Tribolium castaneum: one gene and its partner. The protein of the gene in region 2 binds, or shares a complex with, the protein of the main gene of each other region. Links are inferred from orthologs where the notes say so. Each region holds a gene or a part of one and is shown on either strand. Other genes may lie near its edges.

Region 1 (4,287 bases), on a different chromosome or scaffold from region 2:
CTGAATCAAAAAATAATTTAATAAAAAAATAAATAATTTTTTTTATTTATTTATTATTTAATAATAAAAAAATAACAATGAAAATATTTATATTCATTTTTTTTTCTTTTAAAATCCTTTAAATTACCATTTATTTCACTCCTAATGTAAAAAAATTTGTTCATTGTTTAGTGAAAAAAATGCGCTCCAAAAGATAAAAACAAAAAACGTCACTCGCAGTACGAAAGAAATAGACCGAACTAGTAAAAAAAATTGTCAAATACAATTTAAGAAAATTTCAAGTATGTTTATAAACATATTTTTTTTAAAGTATGTCCATGACGAAAATAAATTTGATTCCAAGTTAAACAAAGTCATGGGAAAACAAAAAAAATAGTAGTTTTGAAATATAGCTTGACTTGACTAGTAATAGATATACAAATAGCTAAATGTTTATGATTTGGAGTGGAATTCCTGATTAAAGTACACTATTTTCTGTATATTATGGTGCATAGAATGAAATAAACAATTTAAACAATAGATGCAAATTGTTTCTTTAAAACATTCTTTGTAAAAAAACTAATGTTGATTTCATCGTAAATTGCTGTTTTTTTAAGAGGATTACCACTACACATTGGCTTTTAAACAAAAAATGCTAGGTTTCAAGTATTACATAAAATTAATTTTCCAATTTTTTTTTAAGATATTATTGTGCCTGAGTCGGTAGTCGACTATTTTTTCCGACCTTGTTTATATCTTGTTAACAGTATTTTAGGAAAAGTGCTGAGTATTTCAATCTACACGAGAATTTTCAGATAATTAAAATTAAAATAAAAAAAAACAAATAAAAATAAATAGCTCCCAACATTTGTCCATTATCAGACTAGATTTATTAAATGGACAATTGGCGTTTTATTCAAAAAGTTGACAAAATCGATCAACATAATAAACATTTTTAAAATGACGAATTATGAGAAGTTCAGAAAAATGTAATTAAATTATTTTATTAAAAATAAAAAAATAGAACTGGAACAGCTGATTTCAACATTTAATTTATTATAATCGAAAAATTTTTTCATCACTTTTGTTGATTATGATCATAAGTAAGTACATATCTAGAATAACTCATTTAAAATTAAGAGAGACGAAGCTTCATAATTTTTAATCAAAAGTTTTCGGATAATAATAAAATGATTTATTTTAGAGCCAAAAACACTTTCGTAAAAAACATTTATTGTCACTTCCACGTAGTGTTTTTGTTTTTTATAATTTTCTAAAAATCCCAAAATTTCTACAATCCGAATTTAAATGATTTTTCTGCTACAAGTTTTTCAAGAAAACAAGTTAACATCTATAAAATCGATACCATTTATTATTAAATAATAATATTATTATTATTATTATTAAATAATTAATGAGTTGTAAAACGATGTACTTATCAGTAATTACATATTTTAATTTATTTATTATTTTTATTATTGTTTTATGAATTCAGTATCAAAGATTGTATTTATATGGAGAGGTAGTAAAAGGCATTTTTTATTGAGCGACAACTGTAAATTCTAATTTAGTATCATTGAGAAAAATTATTAGGACCTTCAATAACACATTAAACATTACTATAAAACAAACAACGCTACTTAAAACTAAAAATCAGTAATTGCAAAATAACTTTACACAACTTACTAATTTATCTTTTTATTTCTTTATTTTTTTGGTAGGTACAATTGATTAAAAAATAATCACACATAAATCAAAAAATTGATGACTTGTTTATTTAATAGGAATAGAAGGTTTCTGTTATTTTATTTTGCATGTTATTTGAAGGTTTAAGTACTTTCAGTAAAAAAAATACAAATTTTTTTAACCAGTTTATTGTTAACATAAGATAACTATTAAATAAATTGCGAGCTAATAATAGTTTAATTTAGAAGAAACAACAAAAAAATTAAAGTATTTTGTTTATTTTTTGCAAGCTCAACTTCAGCAAATGATTGTTCTTATTTTTTGCCAATAATTTTTTCACTTTTTCCTTGGTTTCCTTCTCATTCTGAGTTGTTAGATACATAAAAAAATACTGCTTTCTAATGAGAAACGTGTACTCGGATTACGTCTCAATTTGTTGTACTTTTATAGTGTATTCGCTTGAAAAAAAGTAGGTTAAAACCCACATTCTATAAAAGCACATAAAAAAAAATTCCTAAAAATGGTTGAGGAATAATTTTTAATTTTCCTAACCGTGACGATGATAATTTTTTCCAACTCTTTTTAGTAAAAAGTCAAACGATAAAGTGACAACCTTGTAAGTCTTCAGACTTATTATTACTCTTATATTAATAAATTAATAAAATACCAACCATAAGCACAATCTCCCTGTGCCCATGTGCAGCCGCCAGATGCAAGGGCGTATCGTCCCCCCGATTGGTGGCATTGACCCTCGCCCCCCTGAGCAAGAGCATCTCCACAATCTTCGTGTGCCCCCTTTTCGCCGCCCAGTGCAGCGGACTGAACCCATGGTCATCCCTAAGACAATCACCAATCAGTAAAAACCAAACAAACCCACACACACCCAATTATTACACAACACGGCCACACCACTGACCAAATTAGGCAATGCCATTAAACTAACCTCAAAGACACAACTCACCCCTGGTTCATGTCGTGCTCGGTGTCATCGAGCCAAACCCGCACCTGGAGGGCATTCCCGTCCCTGCACCACTGGAAAATATCCTCCATTTCGGCAATTTGCCCAAAAGTGGGGCACTTGTACCAGCAAATGGGCGTTCACTTGGGTGGTGTTTAAAACGCGAGAATTGGTTTTTATTTATAATGAGTGCGTTCAGTCGCTTATCCGGAAGCTATTTACCGCATTACTTTGATAAGATAAGGATTTTTTTGGTAATTAGGTGAGGAAAACTAAACACTTTTTTACACAACAGACGGCCATATTTGGACGTGTTGCCAACCGTGCCGCTTGAAATTCCCCAAACGGATAAAAAAGTTGATTTTTTAATTGTTTTAAAGGATTTTAAATCAAACGTAACGTCCTAAAAACTGTCCCCCGCTCCGTTAGGTAACAATTAGTTAGATTGGGCCCCCAAATTAATTAAAAATTTACCATAAAAGGAATGGGAAGTTACCAAAGGTTGGCAACACGCCGGCGGGAGTTCCAAACACGGGTTAAAGCACATAGTTTAATAAACTTTGTTATACACATTTTTGGAAGTAAATATATTATGTACAAGTCCTGTTAGCGAGACCAATGTAATAAATAACAAATCAGACAAATAATCTAGCTAATTTGCACCAGTTAAACGAATTTGAAAAAAAAGGTGCATAGAGAGCTACAAGCTTAACATTAATACTTTCTATAAAATTTCCAAGTCTACCAACTGCCTCACATACACACCAGACTGTTTAACAGCCAAAAAACTGCTCGATATGTTTGCAAAACTACACATACACTTCCACAAAATCTAATTGGTTAGTGAAAAACAATTGTTCATATGTGCTTCTTTGGAACAAAACAACTAATAAAATGATCAGAGTGGCCATGAACCTTGAAACACAGTTGGCGGTACTGCCTGTCAAACGTCGCAGGTCACTCTAAACGAAAATTACTAAACCCGCCTACTAGACTACGCTCGTTCGTCTTGAAATAAAAAATTGCAAAAATATGATCTCACTGACAGAATCATGAAGGTGTAAAAAGTGTAATTAGTTCATGTCCTTCACGAGTTATACAAAATAGTTCTTGACGCGCGATCAAGAAATACATTGTCTATAAATAAAAAAACAAGTAAATAATAAACGTATCACTTTGTAACAATAAACAAAAAATAACATATACACAAAAATCTTCTGTTGTATTTAAAATGATAGGGAAAAAATCATTAGGTACAAAAATATCCCTCGGACCGCCCGCCCTCGAAGCAACACATCATCACATAAATAATTGGCAGTAGTTTCGCAACAATTTTGTACTAACAATTCGTCATTTTCGTAATATTTACAATAACACAAGTTAACGAGATATCAGTGTAAATACAACAAAAGATACGTAGCTTCTCACAGCTCAAAGCAAACAGTGTGAAAACTGCTTCAGACCTATAATACACAAAGTTACTTATTTTTAGAAAATAACTACGGGATAGGTACAGTTATTGAAAAGACGAGAAAATCATAATCGAAGCACTCTGGTGTGATTTTTCACGATATTTCCTAAAAATAAGTGCTCGTTATAGCGCGATTAACTGCCGATTTGTTGGCGCACATAAAAGTGCGGTTTATTTTTTTGTTGGGGTCCCT
Region 2 (4,489 bases):
AAAAACACTTTTTGCTTCTAAAAAAAAGTTTTCTAAAAGGTGAAAGATCTTTATTCAGAACTAGACCCCTTAATTTTGAAACTAAAACTGAAGAAAAACCTCTTTCAACTTCGACTTCATTTTCAAATAAATTATACAAAATTTATTGCCAATCAATCTGTACGTCTCCGTAAAATAACTTTTATATCCCATTTCAGTTCATAGTAGAATTTTGCAACAGCGTTTTTGCATTTTTTTAAATGAAATGGAGCACAAATTGAGAGTTTATGGTGAATTTTCTTAACTCAAAGTTTGTCGCTGGGATTTAGTTTAACACAGAATTATTTTGTAATACTAAAACTCTCAATTTGTGCTTTATTTTTCAAAAAAAAATTCAAATGCGATGTTGCAATTCTACATTGGAACTGAATTGGGATATAACTCCAAAACCGTTCTTTCTCATATAAATTTTATAGCGTGAAGCCGATTTTTACCAGTTATATTGCTTAAGTGTAGACTGTTTTTATCAATATCATGAGATTTTATCTTTAAATGATGATATCTGTTCACAAGTATTCGATAATCACTCTTTTAAATTACAAAAGTGGATCCAAAATTCAACAGGAGAACGTAACTAACAAAACGAGGGCAAGAAACAGATAAAATTTGTGGCGAATTGGTGCCCAATAAATTTCTCAAAAATTTAATTCAAAGACCTGATAAAAAACTAGGTATAACATACAGGAGAACTCGGTTATAACAAACGCTTAAGGAACTTCACAATTTGTTCGTTACAACACATCGTTCATTCTAAACGAAAGTAATTTTGAAGTTAAGTGAATTCTAAAGCTTGGAATAGATACACAAAAGAAGTATTAATCTAATTTATTAAGAAAGATACATTTACATAATACCTAATGTTAACAAGTTTTCCAACAATTCAATAATTTTCAAATTTGTGGCAACATTTAAAATTTCTGATTACTTTGTGTGTTCCTGTGTCTGTTGGAATTTTCATGCAATATCAGAAATATTTATTGTTTCCTTGAACGTAACAATTCGTTATAAGTTATAATCGAGTTGTAAACCACTTTTTTGTCTAAATTGTAACTGTATTTGTAACTGCTCAATTCAAAGAATAAGAAACTATAAGGTAAAATAATAGGGAGCATTTTTAATTTTATTTCTACCAAAAAACCTGATTTCTAATTACTAGCTTTTAACTAAATAGTTCCCAACTTCGAAATTTTATTTTATGTACTGTTACACAAGCGAAAGAATTTTTCTCTACATTTTTATTAGTATTTAATTTTTTTAATTTTCAGAATAAACTGTGAATTTTTTTGGGAATTTTTTTTTAAATATTTTATACTATACTACTTTCAGATCACTTTCATGAAACCATTGTGGTGCAAATGACTAGCCGGTTACCATGACAACTCATAAAAATTAATGTCAAACGTACGCTATTTGTACCACAATGGTTTTATAAAAGTGAACCTCGTATACATGTTTTATGATTCTTTATATTCTTTATTTCATAACAAGGAAAAAAGGCACCAGAAATGTAAAAACTACATATCGATAAATTACTTAGCCTGCGACAACTTCGAATTTTTTCGGCGGTTTGAGGTCGTGACTAAATAAAAATAAAAAAATAAGTTTTCACCTTTAAAAATTGACAATTTGTTGTGTTCTTAGCAAATTACAACTTTGTAATTTATTCCTTAAGCTTAAAGGTGCATAATGAGAAAATAAACATTAAAGACACATTTTTATTAATGACGTGACAAGTGTCAAATATGACAGATAATACACCTGAAGACGGAAATCCCACCTATTGTCATGCAAATTTTCAAAATCCCTTGTCTCAGGTAGAATGTTGTAAAGTCTGTATACGAATCTCGAGAATATTTCTTGAATTTCTCACTAAGTTTGAAAAACAAAATACAGAATTTAGAATTTTAATTGTAGGAAGCAAACAATAAAAAATTACAAATTTGAAGAATGTTAAATAAATAGAGTATAAAGATCAGACGTAATTATGATATTTTCATGAAAAACAATGTGGCATAAATTATAAGCAGTAAAAATGATTTCATAAAAGGTTAACAATAATTTTTCAAGAAAGAACTAAAAGCATCACTGTGAGATATTTCACTTGTCCAAAATTGTGAAGAAAGCCCAAAATCCATAAAATAATTATGTAAACTGGTGTCATTTATGGAAACAACCATCTGGCTCCAAACAATAATTCATACGTCACAGAGCGTCCGCCAATCAGATCGCCTAAACAAGCAGCCTACTGGATCGTTTTACATTTCCTTTAGAGGTTATAAGTTATTTCCCCAATAAGTGACCGAAAAAATTCGTCGTATTTTGCACATTTGAATAAATTGGCCAAGGCCGATGATTTTTTCAGGCGCCGTCGAGTGCACAGACGTGGGGTATTTATTAATAAACCATCAGCGCAATCCACAAAACCGCATTCCAGCGACTATTTGCAACAGGTGCACTAACTGTAAAAGAATCGAATTCTTCACATACTGACCCAAGTCCTCGACGAGTCTCAGCATAACTCCTCCGATGTGCAAGTCGCTCTTCACTCGGAGTTGGCGCTCCGCTTGCAAATCGGTAACTAGCACCCGCAGGTTCCAGGAGCCGTCACCCACTATCTGTCCGTTCGCTATCATTATTATCAATTACTTGTCACTTCACTATCATTAAGATAAGATAATAAAACTCTAATTATTTATTCCGACATTGTTTACAACGCGGGGCTCACTGCAAACCCGAATCGTCTCGTGACTTGGTCCTTCTAAGAACAACTACTCGTGATTGGTCGGTGCTTCATGTGTTTATCTCTTGTTAAAGTGGAGGGAGAAAGTCATGGAACAGTGTCACCAATCGTCTAAACGAAATATCACCAGATTATTCAAAAAACTTGTATTCTGCTTATAATCCATTACCACAGATTAGAGAGTGTCCTATGAGTACTATGAGTAATTGTAACCCCTAAACATAAAAAAATTTTTCAAAATACTGGCCGGAGATGACATAAATGTGATTTTGTTGGTATTTGGTGAAAGCTTAAAAAAATATCTGTTCTCACAATAATTTATCTTAGAATTCTTTCGTAAGATTCCGCCAAACTATGTGGATTTTTTTTATAAATTGTAATATAGCATATTAAAGTATAAGTGGATATTGGGGTTTTTAAAACGCGCGATTTTTCGAGCACGACGCGACGGCGTAGCCGAAGTGCTCAAAATAAAGCAAGTGTTTTAAAGACTAGTTATTCACTTTGAAATCATAAATACTGGTATTAATATTAAAAAAAATTATGTAATGTGAGATAAGTATACCTTTCGTTGTCATGGAATTGATGGTCATTGTAATAAAAAAATCATTAAAAAGGTGACATTTATTCTTCACGTTTCTTGGGTTATTAATGCGCGTTTTTCAAAGTTGGATTTATACACACAGCAGCGATTTTCAAATAAGCAAAATAAATTACCAATAAAAAAACTTATATAGGCTTTAATCCCTCAGTTTTTATAAAAATAACAGGATCCTCCTACACTAAAACACAGGATGTACCCACCGGAAAGGTGCTAATGGTAAGAGCAATAGAGATGGAGATGGCAAAAATGCAAAAAAGTAGGTCTTTTATTCTTTGTTTGTAAGATAACTTTTTATAAAAGAACTTTTGCTTCAGAATTACCTAAACTATACCCACCTGTCCGGTGCGGAGCGAGTTCTGATACGGGCTGTATACAGAATTGCCCAGCTCAGCTCCCGTTTTCTGTAACTCAGTTATTAGTAAAGTTGGAAATTTTGATATTTTATACACGTTGTTTTTATACTCTAGGAGTCTAGGAGGACGTATTTCAGGAAAATATATTTGATTATACAAAGTGTCCCAAAAAAGTATGACTTCATACTATTTTTTTAATGGCATGCTATATTTTTTAGTGCCTTTTTAGCTTCTTACATGTCCCTAATTTTTTTAATCGGTTCAGGGACTACTGTTAAAAAAATAAAAACCAAAAAAAAATGTTTTTTAAAAATCAATAAAAAATAGAAACGGTGCATTCTTGACGACATTATTAGTATGTAGGTCTTGAAGAAGACTTAACAGACTTATTAATTAAGTTTATCCATAGCCAGTCTGGTAGTCTATTATTAGATCATAATATTGCTATTAGGAGACATCTTATGATATCAATAAAATAAAAAGATCTTATGATTTTTTTATATCACTCGATGCGGAATTAAATAAAAAATATTTTTTGTTATCACAACTCTAACGTAAAGTTATATCTTCAACTATTTAGGCCCCAAAGTCCTTCAAAGACGCTCAGTGACAGATTTGCTTCATTTTGCTGGTGGTCAAGTATTGCTAAATTAATTTATACCTAAACCGTTGAAGATAGAAGTATGGTCTCGCGGACTTTTTTTGTAGAAAATTTAATTCCCTCAACCGTATTCGCAGCGTTCGCAAAAATAT

Evidence for each region.
Region 1: unc-112-related protein (region 2) and Ilk share a complex: the UniProt entries of both Caenorhabditis elegans proteins name them as parts of the integrin containing attachment complex. The link is inferred for Tribolium castaneum from reciprocal best matches to the Caenorhabditis elegans genes unc-112 and pat-4.

Annotation. Positions count from the first base shown.
Region 1 is NC_087394.1:5,466,114-5,470,400, reverse strand, and holds the start of Ilk (integrin-linked protein kinase), read right to left. Parts: upstream 2,969-4,287; 5' UTR 2,716-2,968; coding exon 2,627-2,715; coding exon of another isoform or gene 2,623-2,626; exon of another isoform or gene 2,609-2,622; intron 2,503-2,608; coding exon 2,337-2,502; intron 1-2,336. Other genes in the region: trc (serine/threonine-protein kinase tricornered), read right to left, coding at 4,266-4,287. UniProt on the Caenorhabditis elegans protein: Probable pseudokinase that acts as an adapter protein. Component of an integrin containing attachment complex, which is required for muscle development and maintenance.
Region 2 is NC_087396.1:10,375,136-10,379,624, reverse strand, and holds the start of unc-112-related protein, read right to left. Parts: upstream 2,829-4,489; 5' UTR 2,673-2,828; coding exon 2,531-2,672; exon of another isoform or gene 2,474-2,530; intron 2,427-2,473; exon of another isoform or gene 2,098-2,426; intron 1-2,097. UniProt on the Caenorhabditis elegans protein: Component of an integrin containing attachment complex, which is required for muscle development and maintenance. Probable regulator of cell-extracellular matrix adhesion. Required during initial muscle assembly to form dense bodies and M-lines.